Linked DNA regions of Caenorhabditis elegans. The protein of the gene in region 4 interacts with the protein of the main gene of each other region in a pairwise test. Each region holds a gene or a part of one and is shown on either strand. Other genes may lie near its edges.

Region 1 (7,767 bases), on a different chromosome or scaffold from region 4:
AGAGGGATAGAGGACAACAGAGCAAGCGGGAAAGATGTAGGTCACAATAGGAAACAACTTCCATGGTAGGCAAGCGCGTTTTCAGGGACCTGCCCGCCAGCCTTCCTGCTCATTGTTTGCATTTTTACGTGAATTTACAAATTTATTATATAATTTTCTCATTTCTATAAATTTGATAAATATCAAATCACTAGTTAGCATAAGAAGCGGGTTGTGGCGAGAGGCAGGCGGAGGTTGGAACTTTATACAGACGTGACCTTTCGGTCATCATGAACTTATCGCGTAAGCGACCTCTCTTTATAATTCATTACTTCTTACACTCTCTTGTAATAAACTTCTTCTCTCCTTGTCACTCGCTCAATACACAACAATAATTTTTTACTTGGAAATTGTTTTAGCATCTGCAAAAAGTATTTATTTATCAGTTTTAATAAGAAAAAACGGGAAAAAGCTGTGAAAAACGAAAGAAAACAGGCGGAAAACAAAGCAAGATAAATGGCCGCTGAAACTTGTCGGCCCCTCGGCCATGGCCTAGAAACCACTTTTCCTCGTCCCTCGTAAGGAAAAAGTTGCAGTGAAGGATCCCGTGGTTTCCCGAGCAATTTGAAATTGTCAAATTAAGTTCAAAAACCAAATGATGGTTTGAAACTACAGGAATAAATCGGTATCCTGTGTCACGTAGCCTACTTGACTTGGAGTAGGATGGCTCTAAAGTTTCGGAACATTTGCGGAAACTTGGGTTGATCATGATGTGTGTAAAGGAATGAAGCTACCGTATAATACCTGCATGCAAGAATAATTTTGATTAGTCCATTTGCAGATTTTTAAAACTTGTCGTTCAAAACAACGACTCACAGCCTCCTCACGTGGAAATGACCCAACAACAGGGGGCTTGCGCGTTTCTCGTGAGCGTGGGAAAATTTTGCCGTTGAAAAGTAATTTCCTTCAGTTTTCATGGGTTTGAAATCGATTTCAAACTTTTTAATTACGTATCAATTGTAAAGCTACTTGAGGGTAAGGTGAAGGAAAAAAAAGATTTTTGATTTTTGTTCAAAAATAAAAGCGATGATATAAAAAGAAAAAAACATCTAAAAATTGAGTTTTTCTCATATTTCGTATATTTATCATCATTTTTCTAGTGGAAATTGATGTATATTTGAAAAGTAATCTTCCACCAAAGCTTATGTTATAAAAAATATGAAGAAAAACAGTAAATTGAACGTTTTCGGTAATTTCTCAATTTTCCACGCGATGCACGAGAAGTGCGCCAATGGACCGACTTTAAATTTTTTTTTCTCATAGTCAGTGGGATTTTTTTTCAATCTGATGGTTTCTTGATGCTTTTGAGTAAAATTTTGAATATTAAAAATAAAGACATTTCAAATATATTATCAAAATCCACTTTTAGACGTGATTTCTCAGAAAAATTAGAATTTTTCCTCGATTTCAGGTAAAATTTCAGTTCACAATTGTTTTTTAAGTTTTTCCCCAAAGAAACTGTTGATTTATTATCAATTCGCAGAATTTGGACGCTGCTGGAAACGTGCCCCCGACAAGAATTGCGTCAACAGCGGCTGCTGACGCACTTCCCGCACGCGCTGGCGCGTTTCTCGGCGCGTTTTATCATTATTATTTTGTTTCCTATTTCCATCGGTTTTTCGTCGTTCTTTTTTTGTTTTTCACTCATTTTTTCTCAAATTTAATATTTTTACAGTGAAAACCTTCAATTTTCCACCACAAAACCCCGGAAAAAATGAGCAGAAAGTGAGTGTCGCCCGCGATTTTCAACCTCAAAAATCGATAAATTACTTGCAGTATTCGCACGTTTCGTGACATTGGAAACAACGACGATGGGGGGCCGGACAGCGACGATTCAGGAGCCGATGCCGCCGAGAGAGGAGCCCCACAGGAATTTTACGCTGGAAGGTAGCCGCAATTCCTAGATTTTTTAATTAAAATTTTTTAAAACTTGGATTTTTCAGCGGACAAGCAGTTCAAGGACCACGTGGAGCTGCTGCTCGAGGCCCGGATAGTGAAGCCCACATTCGGAGAATCCTTCAGGCCGCCGAAGTGGTTCAGCCAGAGGGAGGAGAAGCTCCAAGAGGACGCCCGTCAGGGAGAGAAACTATTGTAAGCCGCGGTGGGCTGCTGAAATAGCTGAAAATCATTGATTTCTGCTCATTTTTTGCGCGGCGAATTTGCTTTAAAATCGATATTTTTTTGCAGAGCCTAACGCTTCACCTGTGGTCCGACGGCTTATCGATCGAAGACGGCCCGTTAATGTCTCGCCAGGACCCCAGAACTATTGAATTCTTGGAAAGCGTCGGAAAAGGGTACGGAATGACGGAAAATGGAGGATTTCTTGAAGAAAATCGAGAGAAAATTGGATTTTTTTGACGAGAAAATCAAGATTTTCGATCCAATTTTCACTGAAAATACAAAATACAAGATTTTTTCTTAACACATAAAAATCAGTTTTTTGGCAGGAAAATCATGATTTTATCGTTGAAAATGCAAAATTCTACTTAAAATTGGGACTTTTAAGCTGTTTTCATGTAGAATTTAGTCCAAAATTTGAGTTTTTCAAAGTTTTTTCATAGTAATCCTATTTTCAGCAAACTTTACCTGGAAATTGTCCAGTTTTCGCCAAAAAAAAAATCGATTTTCCCACGATTTTTATTGATTTTAACAAATAAAATATGTGAAAAATCTTCATTTTAAACTAATTTTCACTTAAAAAATGAGAAAATCTCGATTTTTTGGCCGAAAATTTAAAAATTTGATGCTAAAAATGCAATATTTCAGCTGAAAATTGCATTTTTTAAGTTATTTTTGGGCATTATTAGCTTAAAATTGATGTTTTTCACTGTTTTAAGCTGATTTTCAGCGATTTTCTCTTGAAAATTGTTCACATTTCGATTTTTTCCACTATTCTCCTCAGTTTTTAGCAGAAAAATCGACTTTTCTTCGAATTTGCTGATTTTAAAATCAAATTTCGTTTAAAAAAACTTTTATGAATTTTCACATAAAAATGATGAAAATTCTCCAATTTCTGTCGGAAGAATTCCTGAAAATGGAATTTTTATCTTTTTTTTTCAAAAAATTCAAAATTTTGCCAAAAAATCGATTTTTCTACAAATTAGTCGCTTTTAACAGCAATTTTCGTTGAAAAAAACTCAATTTTTATAACTTTTAGCATAGAAAATGTTGAAAATGGCTTAAAAATGTTCGAACTTCTTCAAGAAAAGTGCCAAAAAATTCATTTTTTTTCACATTAAAAAATTTTTTACAGAAAACCATGAAATTTCCAATTTTTCTCCAAAAATCTCCGATATTTCTCCCTGCAAATTTGAAAATTCCCCAAAAATAATTTTTGTGAAATGCCAATTTTCAGCCAAAAATTGATTTTCTAGCGATTTAGCCGTTTTAATATCAATTTTTACACATAAAAATCGGTTTTTTGGCAGGAAAATCATGATTTTATCGTTGAAAATGCAAAATTCTACTTAAAATTGGGACTTTTAAGCTGTTTTCATGTAGAATTTAGTCCAAAATTTGAGTTTTTCATATAGTTTTAATTTTATTTTCAGCAAACGCCAAAAAAATTTTGATTTTGCAACGATTTTTGGCGGCGATTTTAATATCAACATTTGTGCAAAAATGCCAATTTTAATCAATTTTCACATAAAAATTGAGAAAATCTCGGTTTTTTGCCTGAAAATTTAGCATTTTATCGCAAAAAACGCATTGTTTCAGTTGTAAATTGTTAAGAAACCGAGGAAACCTATATTTTAATCAGTTTTTTAGCAAAAAAATCGATTTTTCTACGAATTAGCTGATTTAAATGACAATTTTCGTTGGAAAAACTCAATTTTTATGAATTTTCACATAAAAATGATGAAAATTCTCCAATTTCTGTCGGAAAAATTCCAGAAAAGGCATTTTTATCCACTAAAAAAAATTCAAAATTTTCCAATATTTTCCTCAGTTTTTAGCAAAAAAATCGATTTTCCTACAAATTTGCAGATTTTAAAATCAAATTTCGTTGGAAAAACTCAATTTTGATGAATTTTCACGAAAAAATGTTGAAATTGGCTCAAAATTCTCCAATTTCTTCGAGAAAAATCCCAAAAAAAATGGAACTTTTTTTCCATTTTTTCAAAAAACTCAAATTTTTCCAATATTTTCCTCAGTTTTTAGCAAAAAAATCGATTTTTCTACAAATTAACCGATTTTAAAATCAAATTTCGTTGAAAAAAAACTCAATTGTGATGAATTTTCACGAAAAAAAAATTGAAAATTCTCCAATTTTTACCGAAAAAAGTGCCAAAAAATCCATTTTTCACTAATTTTTCTATTTTTTTTTTGTTTTTTTTCAGTGAAATCCCTCCATCACTTGTTCAACAATATCCGGGAAAAGAAATCGATTTCAAAGTGAACCGCCACCACGAGGAGTACGTTGCTCCGAAGATGAAGCCATTCGGCGGTAGTGGAGTCCGTTTGGGAAATGTTGTCCCAACAGTTTTGGGACAATCATCGTCGTCTGCCACCACTGCTGGGACATCATCTGCAACAACTGATCATAACCCGGATCATACTGCTGAAAATGAGGCAAAACAGCTGGAAGATGCTAAGAAGGAGCTGAGCACCAATATGAATGAGCCAACGACTAATGTACGGAGTTTGTACTACGGTTTTGGAGCAGCGAAAATTTTTGGAAATTTGGAGGAAAACTGCGGCTAAAATTGGCAGTTCTAAAAGAAAAATGGACGAAAAAATTCAGTAGAAATAGGCTAAAATCAACTGCAATTAGTAATTCAGTCCCCCCACAAAACTGACCTGAAAATGCAATAAATTAGAAGAAAAACGGTCGAAAATTACCTGAAAATCATAAAAATCGAAAAAAAAAATCGGTGGCCGAACTTTTCGATTTTCTAGGCCATCAGGTGAAAAGTTAGACCCCCCCACAAAACTGACCTGACCTATCACGCAGAATGTCAAAACAAAATTGGGGGACTAATTTTTCACTTGGTGGCCTAGAAATCCAAAAGTTCGGCCACCGATTTTTCATTTAATTTTTATGTTTTTCCGGTCATTATTGATAGTTTATCTTCGCATTTTCAGCCATTTTTCCACCTGAAAACTTACAAATAACGCTTCTTAAGCACCGCTTTGACACCTCCAATCTCCTTGACCATTTGGCCAAACTTTTGGATTTTATCGATTCCCAGCCACGCTTTCAGGGACATCTGTAATGTAAATTTGGTTGGAAAAATGGGATTTTTTTTCAGTAAAAAATATGAAATTTTAACGGAATGTGGGGGAAAAAAATTTGACCAAAAAACATTTTTTTCGCCATTTTTTGGCGAAAAACTCCATATTTCCTGTGAAATATGATATTTTTCGAGTTTTTCACTGAAAAATCTTGAATTGCTCGGAAAAAATCGGAAAAATCGATTTTTCAGTGGAAAATGTACGGAGTTTGTACGGTTTTGGAGCGAAAATTTGTGAAATTTGGAGGAAAACCGGCTAAAATTGGCAGTTTTAAAAAGAAAAATCAAAGAAAAAATTCAGTAGAATTAGGCTAAAATCAACTGCAAACTTTTGAAAATTAAATTTTAAATATATGTTATCAATTATACACTAGAAAAAACATCCCAGAATCAGTTTATTTCTGAAAAATTTCAAATCGGATAAAATAAGCTTCAAAAACACTCTAAAATTAAATGATTCTGATAATAAAATATTCAAAAATTCGCTTAAATTGGGAAAAAAAATCGGTGGCCGAACTTTCGGATTTCTAGACCATCAAGTGAAAAGTTAGTCCAGCCCATTTGAAAATAGCTAGACACAATTCAAAATGGCAAGAAGACGTTTGTGGAGGACTAACATCTCAGTTGGTGGCCTAGAAATTCAAAAGTTCGGCCATCGACTTTTAAAATTTTATTTTCTTCCAATTTTTCACAAAAATGTGCTGAATTACTAATTATTCGATGGGAAACCCGAAAAAAATCGGTGGCCTAACTGTTTTAAAAAGTCGGCCACCAATTTTTTTCGCGCAAATTTGACCGTTTTTTCGTCAATTTTCCAAATAAAAAATTGCTGGCCTAGAAACCCAAACCTCGGCCACCTATTTTTCACCTAAAAACCGTACCTAAACACACCATCAGGACGCTTTTCTGCTCTCCGACGCTCATTTTCTGGGAAAAAATCAGATTTTTTTCCTGAAAAAAACGTGAAAAATCAATAAAAATATCACAAAAAGGTCGTAAAATCCTTCAAAAAATCAATAAAAATTGGCAAAAAAAAATCGATAAAAATCTACAAAATTCATATGATTTTAAACACAAAAAAAACGGAGAAAAATCTACTTTTTCGAAAAAAAAAAATTTCAGGCTCTAATTATAGATTTTCAGTCGAATTGTGGCTTCTTTCCTGATATTTTGATTAATTTTAACAAAATTTTCAGATCCAAATCCGTCTGCCAAACAATCAGCGTCTCGTCGGTATTTTTAATCATTCTCACACACTTGAAGCAGTTCGTACATTCATTTGCACGTGAGTTTTCAGCCGGAAAAAGCTATTAAAAACTCTCATTTTTCACTAGAAAAAGTAGATTTTTAGAAAATTTCGAATTAAAAAAATAAAAAAATCATCTAAAAATCACATTTTTAGCCTGAAAAATTCGAAATTTTCCAATGAATAATTATTTTTTAATAATATTTTTCTGATATACACAGTGATAGAAAAATTACATTTTTCAAATTAAAAAATTACATTTTTCAAATTAAAAAATTACATTTTTCTAGTTTTTTCTTTCAAAAAACTCAAATTTTTTTAATTTAAAAATTTTGATTTTCCAGCGCCCGCCCAGATATGATCTACGCTCCATTCCAAATGATGGCTGCCTACCCTCCAAAACCATTTGAAGACGAATCACAGACTCTGAAGGATGCAAATGTGCTCAATTCGGTCGTCGCCGTGAAAATCTTGCCCACCACCAACTGAGGAGATTCCTGACGCTGCTTTTTTGGCGGGAAAATTGAAAATTGAAAATTTCATCTGAAAAAATTTCGAATTTCTACTCGTTTTTACCCCCCAAAACCTCTCAAATTCCCTGAAAATACCTGTATTTTACGCTAAATTATTTGATTTTTTCCCCCCATTTCCCAATATCGTTTTTTTTCTTTCTTCTATCACACTTTAATGCATAAAAAAAGTACACCGTTTTCTGTGAAAAATTGCGGCGATTTTTATTGATTTTTTGTTTTGGAATTTGCGAGTTTTTCAAGCTCTGAAATATTTTTTTTATTTTTTCCAGATTTTCAGAATTTTTCAATTTTTAGTGAAAAATGCACATTTTTTACAAATTTTCCATTAAAAATTCAATTTTAAAGTCAAATTTTGAATTTTTCAGATTTTTTCCCAATTTTTCAGAGAGAAAAATCCTTCTTCTGCGATTTTTTGGTGAAAAATTTAAAGTTTTCAAAAAATGTAAAAATTCACTTTTTTTGTTCCAATTTTCCACTGAAAAATCGATTTTTCCCTGATTTTTTTCAAAAAATTCAAGATTTTTCAGTGAAAAACTCGAAAAATATCATATTTCACAGGAAATATGGAGTTTTTCGCCAAAAAATTTATAAAAAATTTTTTTTTGAAAAAATTCACAAAATGCTTGGTTTTTCCTCCCCACATTCCGTTAAAATTTCCCATTTTTCCAACCAAATTTACATTACAGATGTCCCTGAAAGCGTGGCTGGGAATCGA
Region 2 (4,060 bases), on a different chromosome or scaffold from region 4:
TCCACAACAACGCCTAAAAACACCGTGAGTTTTTCTTCACGCCAATTATATTTTGTGTCGTCTGCATTTCGTTTACCCATTTCAGAATCTCCTTGGCTCAACGTATGAGTAAAATGAGCATCAACCACTGACTTGATTTATTCATTTTTCTTCACAATTTGGTTTTCATATTTGGTTCAGTTCCCCTCATTATCCCATCCCATTGTTTAATTGCCTAATTTTTATCTCTCTGCTTGTATATTTTTTCAATGGTTCAAGGTGGTAATATGATCATATTTCCTTTTGAAAAATTAATAGAGTTTACAGAGCGTCGACTACAACAACAGCGAGTCGTAGTGGTTCGAGAACATCTTCCAGAGCTTGTCCGCGTGACGATTCCCGCGACTCCCGTCTCTCTCAAGCCAAAAACAACAGTCGTAATAATTCTCGCTCTCGTATTTTCTGATTTTCAAATTCTGTATACTTCTGTTTTTTTTTAAACTTTTTTGAATACTTTAACATATAAAAATGCACTTTTCCTGTAAAGCTGTTTGTCTCAAAAAATTCATTTAAAACTTAAAAATAAAATCATGGGTACCGATATAATGGGTGAGCACGAACTTGCAAAAATACTTTGGAGAAATGGATTCACGATTTGGAAGCAACGGTATGTTGAAAGAACCGTAATAAATGACTGGTGACTGAGTATTTTGTGAATAAATTATGTTGAAAGTCTAAAGATCGGTATGTGAAGCATGAGATGTAGATTCTTGGGAGACGGAAGTTGTTTCCTGTGTGATTGTGGAAGAAGGCGATTCTGGCTCGATGGGTTTCAGAAGAAAGATCGCGTCAGGAAGGTAGTAAGCAGACTGAAATATTTTGATGTTTGAAAAAATTTTCAAATCAAACTTCCACCCACATTGTTCATATCTCCTTCGCAAAGATACGGCAATCTTGTCCATCTGAGCACCTCAAAATTTGCCGGTTTGAAAACATTGACGATCATATGATGAACATGGTCGGCGTAGGTACGACCAGCAACGTTCAGGTAGTTGTCAGGTCGGGTGCTTCGTCCATTTGGATTGAATTCCACGTAATGGCTGACTGGAAGCACAAGCGACACGATGACATTACAGTTTGAGCGGCGAGCGACGTTCCACAAGTCGTTCAACAGCTTTCCTGGCGAGTAATGGCTGAAATTTGCAGCTTTCATTGAATAATCTGAGTTTCTGTTCACTTACCGATCGAGGAGGTTGAAAGCGGTGACCAAATCAAATTTAACATCAGTTTCAGCCCACTCGAGTGCACTGAGAACATTGTATCCCTTCCAGCTGAGCCGGTTTCTCATCTTCTGCAAAAAAACTTTGTTTGTAGTAATCTTGCAGGAGGAGTAACGTTTCCGTTTTTGCAAAAAAATTTAAATTTCATAGTGGGAATTTCAAAACAGCCGGCTTGGCGTTTTTCAAATATTTGGATACATTCGTTGTCCTAGGTAATTCAAACTGGGATAACTGCTTGACATTAAGCCAAAAACGCAGAAAAGAAACGCAGAAAACGTTTTCAAAGCATTATGTCATCATAAAATGTTTTACAGTATTCAAAGCCTTTTTTTTTAATTTCAAGTTCTTACCGATGACAACTCTGTAGCATAAACATGCTCAAAGAATGGGCGCATGTGCTCTGTAATGTCTCCGTTGCCAGCTCCAAGATCGAGCACCTGAAATATATAATTGCGGGTTGGTGAAACAATTTCCCATAAATACCTTTTTGTCGGTAGAATTCCAAGATTCTTTCTCGATTGCGAGAAACTTGGCGAACTGATTTTCACTGAAAAGGAACATGTTTCCGAATCCGGTCATTCCATTGATATCAGTTTTCGAATAGATTGTCGACAAAATCATGACCCCAAGGTTGCGAACCGTCTGCCAAAAGAAATTGCTGGCAATTTTATTGGAGTTGTCAAGAAACTGCTGCGTTTCCCCATCTGGCAACGATGCGGCGAACAAGTTTTGTGCAACATCTGAGAGACTTGTCTGAAATTATTAATTTTCAAATTTTCAAAAAATTATCTGAATTAAAAAGAACAAACCTCTGGCTGATACCAATGCTGGGCTCTCAAGCCGTACGTCCGCTCCAGTTGAAATGACATTTTGGCAGTGAAAATCGATAACAATAAGAGGAAGAGAGGTGGTGTGTGGCGAAGACGGTTTGAATGGGGGAACGCTTTGCACTGTTGGCCCGGTGTGTGCAAACGCGCTCGATTCACAATAAGGAAAAAGATGGCGGGTTTGCCGCAGCGGGAACAGTGTGTTGAGAAATTAACTTACAGGTCTGAGTTGATGAGCGAGAAAATTGTTTTCGTCGTATCGAAATGAAGAAAAAAGTAGAATTTAACTAGTTTAAAGCCTGTTTTTAATAGCCACATTGCACTGTCCAAATGCAAAACATACCGTGCCAATTAATATATTTGAAATAAACACCGAATGGGACCCATCAATATGTGAAAAAGAGCCGTTGAAGGACAGAAAAAAGATGTATCAATGTTATCGATGACAAGTTTGAGATTTTCCACCACAACATCGTTGTGCCAAAATCGGGAGAAAGCTACTTGGAAACATTTTTAAAAAATCAGAAAAAAACAATATATTATATTTCCCTCCAAATTGTCTAGTTGTTCCACTATCAGTTTTGAAACCCACACTTTAACTTTTTGAAATCTTTCCAAAAAAAAACCATTTGTAATACCTTTCCACTTCTTCGCCACGTATTTGTCAGATGTAAAGCCATAATTTTTCACTGCAAAACTACAAGTGTGCACAAGTCCATGCAGAACTTGAAATGTATCCCAAATAGTCATTCCCGTAAGCTTCAATCATTTACGTCAAAGAGCCGGTTTTCTCATTTTTCTTCTCATTTGTAATTATGACTCTGAAGCCAATAATTTAGATATTTTTCCCGCTTCTCTGATTCGTGTTTAAGAGATGTTATTTTCAAAACTAAAATCATTATTATTCCCAACTCCTTATACGTGTTCATCAGTTATGCATAGAATATAGAATATCTGAGATCTTATGGGTTGAATCTCCTGAGAATTGAACGATAAAGTCACACCTCTACACTTTTGTTAAAGATTACCATTGTTATTGACTTTGAGTTTTCTTCTTTTCTCCTTTCTGATTCACTCCGGCTCAATCAACTTTTGGGAAGAATGCCCACGTTTCCCGAATTGGTTATGTCTGTTCACAATGACAGTAGATACCTGAACTACGAATTCAAAATGAATACAGTGTCTTGGTGTGTTCTAGGCCTGTCAGCATGCGTATTTCTCGGACTTATCTGTTTTATCAGAATGGCAATAATTTATTGTTCCCAACCTTCCATGGCTACCAAAGCTATCCATCCGCACGTATTTAAATCTATGGTTATTATGCAGTTGTCGGTAAGCTGGTTATATTTTTTCTTTGTTATCTGTTTTTTTTTTCAGCATTATATTTTCTTCATAACTGATAATTTGGCATTCCGCGTGCCTTCTACCGGATTTGTTACAGCTAGCTGTGCTGCCATGGAGCCTAATCACTACTTAAAAATTATTTACCTGTCACAAATGTGGGGAACCTATTGGTCAATGTTTTCCTCACTATTGTTTTCTATCATTCGAATGATTGTCTATGTAACTCCAACCAGACATGCAGAGGTAACAATTATCTAATTAGCCACACTGGCTCGTTTTGTAGAATTGCCGCGCACCCATGCTTGCACTCCCTTTCGCTCAAAAGCAACCATGATATGAGCCTTTGAAGTAGAGGGATACATGCGCAAATCTAATAGTGAAAATACCGTCAACATTATTAATAACGCCTTATTTTCAGTGGTCGTCTTACGTTTTTTACACATTCATTCCGTTGGCTTTCTTCTCACCATTTGGAATTACGTACTTTATGTATCCAGCAAAAGGCTATTGTAGACAATGGGGATCTCCTTTGGGCTTCGGGTCTGTCTTCATCTCCTACACCGAAACCTATGATGAAATACGACACGACATATTCTTCATCCCGTTGACTTTAGCTGTCCCTCTCCTTAT
Region 3 (4,772 bases), 750 kb from region 4:
GTCCCGGCTTGTTGCCAAGCTTTTGCCATTTCAGTTTATCGACGTCGGTTCCTGTGATGTAAACTGATTTTCCACCCTTATCGCCTATGAAGTTAATCGAATTTTCAGTCAATGTAAGCGTTCCGCATGTTAAATGGCCTATATCCTCCACGTAAACTCCCTTGAATTTGAGCTCAGTCATTCTGAAACTTGTCAGTCAATAACGCGTGTAAAGAAAAGAAGCGAAAAACGTCCGCGAACAAGAAAAGTCCGGAAAAGAATGAAAAAAATGAATTCTCGAAAAATGCACTCTAATTTTTTCGCGCGTCGAACCGAAAACAAAGAACTACGGTAGTCGATCATACGTGAACACCGAAGTATACTGTATACGCAAGCACCGCATCTGACGACCGTTTCTATTAATTTTATTATTTTTTTAATAATTGACTAATTTTGACAAATAAATTGACAAATTACTATTACGACAAATTACGACAAATAACGGTAAAAGTTGTGGCACGTCAAATTTTTTCCTGCATACAAAATAGTTAAATTATCAAATAATATTTATTTCATCTTTTCAACAACCAAGAAGCAGTACCAAATATATTAAGTTTTTAACAAACTTCAAATAATATAATTTTTGGTACTGTAACAGCCTAACAAACAACATCAATTGGAAATTCAAAAAGAAACAGTATATAGCCCGAACGAGAGAGTGAGATAGAGAATTAAATTCACACCTGGAGGAAGAGATCAGTAAGAAATGATCAGACTTTGAGAACATGAATAGAAAATGATAGTAACGGGGGAAGGGGACTTTAAACAAGTATTTTGAATCTATATTGATTCATAAGACAGGAATAAAGTTTTGTGAGAATTCAGAACCGGTTGGAAGCGTGTCCAGACACCGAATCGGTTCTGAATTTATCAGAAGTAATATATTTGTTATTGATTGAGATACGGTCCCAATCTCATGAGCAATCGATCGCAGAGTCCTATCTCTTGTAGATGTGTTTGAGACAGTTGATGGCGTAATCCTTGACAATAACTCGTAAAAATCTGAAAAAGGTTAACTTTCTTGGCGCAATATTTACTTTCTTGAGTGTTATGGTAGGGATTAATTGTGTCATTTGGGAATATTCCGACAATTTTGGCATTATGCCAAACAATTACTTACCTCAGCGACACCTCCATTGACTATTTGAAGTATATGAATTCCAGAGAGAAGTGCAACTTCACAATCATTGAATACTGTATTACGAATGCCGCCACGAAGCAAATTTACTGGATTCTCACAGGAATAGAAAGTGATTGGATCAAATGTGAAAGCCGCACGAATAGCCAAGATACCACTCATCACTTTTTGAATACTCATTTCAAGTGCTTTTTCATCTTTTGGCAAAAGTGAGCTCAAAGCTGGAACTGATTCAATAAATTTCTTAATTGCTCCAATAGCATGAGTTCCCGATGTTAAGTGAGTAGAGCATGGCATGTTTGCAACAAAGGCGGCCGTAAGCTCTTTCACTTGTGATGTCATCTCAAAATTGGGCGAAGCCACTGATGGTTTAACATCTTTATCAGTTTCTTTGTTCACTCGAACGTTGTCACGATTCATTCCAACTGCGAGGCATTTGGCAAATCGACAAGCTTGACAACGAGTACGTACTCCACGATTTGCCGCACAATTTTCATATGAGAACTGAAAAATATAATAGCATATTTTTGAAATGCTTGTCTAATTAAACTCACTGTGCAATTTTCTCCTTTGGTACAAACATATGCGATATTCTTGTGAACACTTCTTCTGAAAAATCCCTTGCATCCTTCACAACTCTGTACTCCATAATGATATCCAGTAGAGTTATCACCACAAACCATACATCTATCCTTTTTAAAGAACTCACTCCAAGCATTCATTGTGAGATTATAGTTTGAAAAGTCTGGAGCAAACTGTGGCATTTGTGGAACTACTGTCATTGGTGTGTTAGTACGGTCATATGGAGTACCACGTGGCTTTTTTGTTGAAGCAGATGACGCTGGGAATGTGTTACGACGAACAGAACTGTTCTCTTTATCATCGGCTTCATTTCCGTTGTCTGGAGAACTTTGAGTCGAAGAAAGAATATTATTAATTGCATATGGTGAGATTTCTTCTTTTTCTGGTTTTGCTTGTTGAAGTGGAGTCAATTGCATTTGTGGCTGATTATGGTAGTTTGGAGTGGTTGCGCTGAAAAATTGAATTTAACGTTTTTACTATAGAAAGGATAAAGTAATCTTCCAGTCATCGTTGCCTTATTTATTAATTTAGTAACTCGCTGAAACGTAGAATTCCCTCGGCATACTGTACAACCGTGTTCTCAAATTCCGCTAAATCTGACTCTATTGTTCTCACCTAATCTCTTTGTACAACATCTTAAAATATTTTTTGTTGCATCTAACCGCTCTTTGTTCTAATTAGGTGTGAATTGGTAAAAATTACATCAACTTGAAATCACTAACTGAATTTTCAAATCCCACTTCCAACCTTGCCAGTTGAAAGAGATTCCCGTTTAGATGTCTTGAATCCTGCCAATAGGATTCAATATGATTCATCATTAGGAGGTAACATCTGCCACGTCATCAATACAGTCCCCCATCTGCCCCCTCTTCTGACCTGTCACTCTCTTACCCAGTTGCCACGTCACAAGGTGACCTGTTTCTACGTATTGCGTGAAACAAATTGGACCATAAAGTAGAGACCGCCCAAACACTCAAACATTGCGCAACTCTTCTTTTTACCGCGCAGAAGAAATACATACCTGTTCTGTGAAGTGAGTGGTGGAGAGATTGTGTCATTTCCCGAATCTCTGTCCGAAATCTGGCTCAGCGGTGATGTGGCATTTGGAGTGACTGTATTTTTAGATTGTGGTGGCATGTAGGTTGAGTTTGTTGCTGTTCCTGGAACCATTTGCTGCATTTGCATTTGCATACACAGAAGCATTTCTGGGGTCCATCTGAAAGTGAGAATTGGTGTTTTGTAATAATTCGAATGCACGAAAAGTTATGACTGGATACAGAAATATAAAAACTTACTGTGCCGGATTCTGTAAATATGACTGTTGATATGCATTTATCATTGGATAGCCTGGCATCATATGTGGTTGATTTGGATAATGCATCAATTCTGGATTCATTGGAACCATCTGAAAACTAGAAAAGAAATAGAGATAGAAAAATAATAAGAGTTAATAAATTGAAAAAAAGAGTATACTATGAAATAGTGTACAATTCAACAGACTGACAGAACGCGCGAAAATGTTGGTCAACGAACGCTCGAATTGGTTGCATAATGACCATCTGACCTTGCACACACTGTTCTCGCGCACTCTTGCTCGTTCTGCCTGCAACGACGGTGTGCTGCTCCGCCCCTGGTGGTCTATGGGAATAAGAAGGTGACAGTGAAGAGATGGAAAGTGGGTGTGATGACATCTCTTCCAAATATTCGCAGTGTGGTGTTGTAATATATTTGTGCGTTCGGATAAAACTAACAGATATTGTTGAGAAATTGGGTATGGTTCTCAGTTGGCATATGAGTTGCAGAATAAGAGTCTATCAAGTTTCAGTGAGAAAAAGTGTCGAAGAAATAGTAGAGCTCTTGAACATTAATTTTCAGGAAATTTCCCTCTCTCGAAGCCAAACAACTACGGACCCAGCGGTAACACAAGTAGCCTATAATGTTCTCATACGCTGTAAAATAATATTTAAATTCAGCTACAGCACTGTAGCTACAGTACACCTACAGTCCCTAATCCAAAAACATTTCGTCATTGTAGCTGGAATATATCGACCAAAAAGTATTGCTGTAAGTGAAAATAGTTGTACATCTCTTCCGGAAAGTGAAATTTAAAGGTTTTCTGAAAGACACACACAGTCAGAATAGAAATTTGATAGATTATATCTAGATTATGTTTGTGATTAAATCAGTACATGGCTGAAATCTAAGCAATAGTGTGACGTCATAATTTTTCAAAACATTAATTAGCCGCCAAGTTTGGTTCTTTGTAGGTCAATTCTTTTGCTGGAACTCTATGCTCATAACCCTCTTTTGGGGTAACATTTCATTTCTGTAACCCCTATCTATAGAGAGGCTATGTGTCAGAGAATACTATAATAGTACAGTAATATAGAGGTTAATGAAGGATCTTTAATCCATCCCCAATTTAGCACAGATGGTCGAATACATTCTGACAGAAGGGAAAGGTCAAACTATAAATATCGATTTATTCTGAAAATAGACAACGATTGGGGTTATCTAATCTTGATTCTTTTCAGAAGGGATCATCAACGGCCGAGCTGTCAATTTTAATTTAGCTAATGAGAAAACATTTAGTGACGAGAATCATTGCTGGAAATATTCTAGAATTCAGTATTCAAAACCGTTTCTAAACTTAAGTAAGTAATTCGAAAATTTCGCAAAATATATGTATTGTTTGATATTTTTTTGAAATTTTAAGACTTTTCAACAAAAAAAAACATTTAAATTTGTTAACAACAATTTTTCCAACTAAGAATTGGAAATAGTGTATGAAAATTTCAAAAATAAATTGAAAATACCAAACAATTCCGAATTTTCCGAACCATGTAGTTTTCCAAGAAACCCATTTGGAGGTAATTTTTGGTTTTATAAGATTTTAGATAGACAGTGAAGAATACTGCGATATTTCAAAACTGCGTAATCTACTCCAGTTATCTCGAGAGCCCATTTGTTTTCCTCCAATAAACTATCATTCTGTGTTACGTCAGTCGGCAAC
Region 4 (3,371 bases):
CGGTGATCAAAATGCTCTTCATGCTGCCGTTACTCAAGGAGCTCATGCAATGACTCAATTAGAAAATTATGCAGTCGCTATTGGAGATAAATTGAGAACAGTAAGATTTTTATTTAAAAAGATTTATTTTTACAATTAGAAAATGCTCAAAACGTAACTTTTTCGAATTTTATGAATTCGTTCATTTTTCCAACTCTATTTTGCTGGGAGCTTACTAAAAAAGTTGTTCACCCGACATTTGACATACTTATAAACTTTTTTGTAGATTGATGACTATCAAACTCATCATCGTCTCCGTGAAGCAACTGGTCGCAAACGTGCAGAAGAACTCAACGAGCGCGTGATGATCTGGTCCCTTGGTCAATCTGCCGTCGTAGTATTCATTGGAATTGGCCAAGTTTTCCTGCTCAAATCATTTTTCAATGATAAAAGAACTCGTTATTAATTTTTTCACACCATTGCTCTTTTTTTTGTAATTAGCAGCCTTCTCATTTTAATGGGTCCCGTCAGTTGTTTTGCCCCTTTTCCTCCCTTTGATACATAGCATAAGAATATAATTTATTGATTTATAACTGAGTTTCATAACATAAAAACCCGAAGCAATTTTATGCAATTGAGAATTATTCAGGAATGTCTCCGTTGAGAACTGACTGATATTCCTGGAGTCTCCGAAGAAGTGCGTCATTTTGATTAAGAAGAGTTTGGATTCCGTTTACGAGCGTCTTGCGTTTTTCACGGTTTCGCTTAGCCTGAAAGTTGATTGAACTGAATCGAAAACTTATTCAAAGTACAAAATAAAATTATGACACACCTGATTTTCGGGAGTAGTTTCAGTGATAATATTCATCCCATCAAGAGTTTCCAGATGTCTTTCCGCCTCTTCGTTGAAATATTTCACTTTCTTTTCCAGCTTTTTCCCCATCTCGACCTGCTTTGGTTTTTCGAGAAAACCACGTTCCAAATCAGCGACATCTCTCAAATTGAGATCATAGGCTTTTTGAAGATTGCTCAAATTATGCTTCTCATATTGCATGAGCATTTTGAAGCCCGCGTCATCAACCAAAGCATTTTTTCCACCCATCACAATGATTTTATCATTTTCTTTAAAATTTAAAGTAGAAAGGGAGACATCGTCGGCGCCTTGAAGAAACTTTCCTGTAAAATACTTTGTCTCATTATTCCAAAAAATCAGAAACAACCTCTGTGCAACAACTTCATGGTTTCAACATCAACATCATTGTCGGTGGCGATTCGATCGCGTAGCTGCCCAAGTGTCAAAATAGATTCGTCTTCTCCTTGATTTTCCTCAAGAATGTCGATTGTAGTTTGAACGGATGAACACGACACATTCACCTTCATTTCTGAAAATTGATTTTGAGACAGTTTTAGCAGTGGGAGAAGCCTCCGAGTGTCGATAAATAAGAAATTGGAACAAAATTATTGTTAACTTATTAGAAAATTAAGAAACTTCTAGAAATGACGAGAAGCTTATGCGAAAATCAGTTCCTCCACGAGGTGTACACATCGATTGCAATGGGGCGCACTCGCTCAGAGACTTCAGAGAAAAACGATTCCATAGACAATGAATCACCGTTTTCGTACGATACTGTGAGGGACATTAAATTAGCCCATTTTTGTTTTTAAGTCACAATACGAGAGCACATGATAGTTTTTATATTGGACATGTAAGAAACACAATGTATGAGCAATAAAATAAACAGTGAGTTGGGTGATAACCATCGGTTGAATAATAAGTATGCAATTATTTACAAGAAAATTACTTATGGCTGGAAACTTTTTTCAATCGCTCGAGAATGGCATCGAGTTTGTAAATTGTCTCCTGGTCAATCTGTTTGTAGATTTTGTCCCGATTTTTAACTATTTTGCGAAAATTGTGAATGCACTCTGTTGCTTTTGCAGCTCGCTCTTCAGCTACCACATCGACTCCAATTCGCCGAGTTTTGGTGGATGCAAATCCGATGATTGTGTCCAGTAAACTGTTGGTAATTGATGCAAGAGCCTTCAAGCAAGCCGATCGCTTCCCATAATTGTCGCTCGTGATATTTTCTGAATTACAAAACATTAGAATAAATTTATCAGGAAGCAAAACCAACCCATGATAAATGTTAAACAAGCATGGCACGAGTTGAGACACCAAGAGTTTCTACTATTCAGAATTCTAATGACTGTGGGAGCGAGTTGGTTGTCGTTTGACAATATCTGTTCCATGTTACTTGTGAAACTCTTCATCTTATAAACACGAAGATCTGAAAAGAAAACATAAACTGAAAAATCAAAACTCTGCAAATCCTACTTCTGCTCTCTCGCTTCGCACAAACACCGATTTTATTCACTTCCTCGGTGCATGCGGACCACAACGACGCGTTTGATGACATGACTGACACGGATGATTCTGGGGAGGATTTTGGCAAAGAACTGCTATGTTCTTCACCTCTCGAAACCGGGTTCCGAGACAATTCCTTCTTCGACTCGGAATGCAATGGACGTCTTGAGCGAGTATTTGTGAACTCGGGCAGATCGGCTTTCACAGTTCGAGAACTCCCGATGAAAGTGATGGGAACGTCCTTTTCCGCACCGCGTCTGAAAAAAATATAATCGCTTCAGATACTTTTTTCGTAGAACTCACCGACTCGAAGTAGATCTTGTATTTGGTCTGTTTTCAGCGGATTTCGGAATGTCGTTGAGAGGCTTCCTATTTTTTGCATGTGTTAGTTTTTTCCGGTCGTCAAGCCCTGACATCTGAAAAATTTCAAAATTTCAAATTTAAGAAGAGACAAACATTTTATAATTGGAAAAAAACACAAGATATCAAAATTAGACGAAAGAAAGGAACTAGTAAACAAGAAAAAACCGTTTTCCCGCATAAAAGAAATTCCCGCGTAATTCTTTGAAGTACTATCGTACCCCGCATGAGCGCTGCGGGACCCGAATAACATCTCATATGCGCCTTTAAAGTTTTTAATATAAAGCTGGATTTTTTAATCCTAAGTATTTACTTTTGCCTCATTCCAATGAATTCTTGAAACGATATATTTAATATTTAATTTAGTTCTTATAGTAAATGGCTCCAGTACTTGGTTTGTTGGAAAATGAAGCGAAAGTCAAGTCGATCATCAGAAAGTAAGTCACCAAAAAAAGAAACAGTTTATATTAATTTAATTTCAGCAATAACCTACTCGAAAAAAAGTTTTCGAGCTTTCAAAGACAGTGTAGAGACCTATCAAGAAACCATGCACTCCGTAGGCGATTTTCGTTCTTGGTTGCAAACGAATTACATTTTTTCAGTCGATTCGTGTTGTTCACAAGTCAAACATTCGGCAACAGCCGCAGAAGAAATGTCAGTCAGCGAT

The links.
Region 1: the proteins of bag-1 (region 4) and ubxn-2 interact in a two-hybrid assay, tested with the Caenorhabditis elegans proteins (one large-scale study listed by BioGRID).
Region 2: the proteins of bag-1 (region 4) and metl-9 interact in a two-hybrid assay, tested with the Caenorhabditis elegans proteins (one large-scale study listed by BioGRID).
Region 3: the proteins of bag-1 (region 4) and nhr-2 interact in a two-hybrid assay, tested with the Caenorhabditis elegans proteins (one large-scale study listed by BioGRID).

The regions. Positions count from the first base shown.
Region 1 is NC_003282.8:2,719,806-2,727,572, reverse strand, and holds ubxn-2 (UBX domain-containing protein 2), read left to right. Parts: upstream 1-1,753; coding exon 1,754-1,764; intron 1,765-1,815; coding exon 1,816-1,926; intron 1,927-1,982; coding exon 1,983-2,130; intron 2,131-2,226; coding exon 2,227-2,333; intron 2,334-4,379; coding exon 4,380-4,674; coding exon of another isoform or gene 4,675-4,743; intron 4,744-6,469; coding exon 6,470-6,558; intron 6,559-6,863; coding exon 6,864-7,008; 3' UTR 7,009-7,260; downstream 7,261-7,767. Other genes in the region: ndua-12 (putative NADH dehydrogenase [ubiquinone] 1 alpha subcomplex subunit 12), read left to right, coding at 7,739-7,767. UniProt on the Caenorhabditis elegans protein: Ubiquitin-binding protein which acts as an adapter for ATPase cdc-48.1 and/or cdc-48.2, conferring substrate specificity.
Region 2 is NC_003284.9:5,176,987-5,181,046, forward strand, and holds metl-9 (DREV methyltransferase), read right to left. Parts: upstream 2,165-4,060; 5' UTR 2,129-2,164; coding exon 2,069-2,128; intron 2,013-2,068; coding exon 1,743-2,012; intron 1,697-1,742; coding exon 1,610-1,696; intron 1,331-1,609; coding exon 1,221-1,330; intron 1,173-1,220; coding exon 899-1,172; intron 849-898; coding exon 714-848; 3' UTR 533-713; downstream 1-532. Other genes in the region: Zinc finger C2HC domain-containing protein zchc-1A, read left to right, coding at 1-24, 307-445; sru-48 (Serpentine Receptor, class T), read left to right, coding at 3,188-3,418, 3,464-3,673, 3,849-4,060.
Region 3 is NC_003279.8:5,817,945-5,822,716, forward strand, and holds nhr-2 (Nuclear hormone receptor family member nhr-2), read right to left. Parts: upstream 3,191-4,772; 5' UTR 3,165-3,190; coding exon 3,055-3,164; intron 2,976-3,054; coding exon 2,781-2,975; intron 2,210-2,780; coding exon 1,732-2,209; intron 1,682-1,731; coding exon 1,160-1,681; intron 1,042-1,159; coding exon 928-1,041; 3' UTR 530-927; downstream 1-529. Other genes in the region: hmg-3 (FACT complex subunit ssrp1-B), read right to left, coding at 1-181. UniProt on the Caenorhabditis elegans protein: Orphan nuclear receptor.
Region 4 is NC_003279.8:6,563,091-6,566,461, forward strand, and holds bag-1 (BAG family molecular chaperone regulator 1), read right to left. Parts: upstream 1,362-3,371; 5' UTR 1,360-1,361; coding exon 1,200-1,359; intron 1,156-1,199; coding exon 812-1,155; intron 750-811; coding exon 621-749; 3' UTR 539-620; downstream 1-538. Other genes in the region: tmed-3 (GOLD domain-containing protein), read left to right, coding at 1-100, 266-445; mei-2 (Meiotic spindle formation protein 2), read right to left, coding at 1,778-2,067, 2,115-2,267, 2,315-2,601, 2,648-2,760; syp-6 (Thyroid receptor-interacting protein 11), read left to right, coding at 3,083-3,141, 3,187-3,260, 3,307-3,371. UniProt on the Caenorhabditis elegans protein: May inhibit the chaperone activity of HSP70/HSC70 by promoting substrate release in an ATP-dependent manner.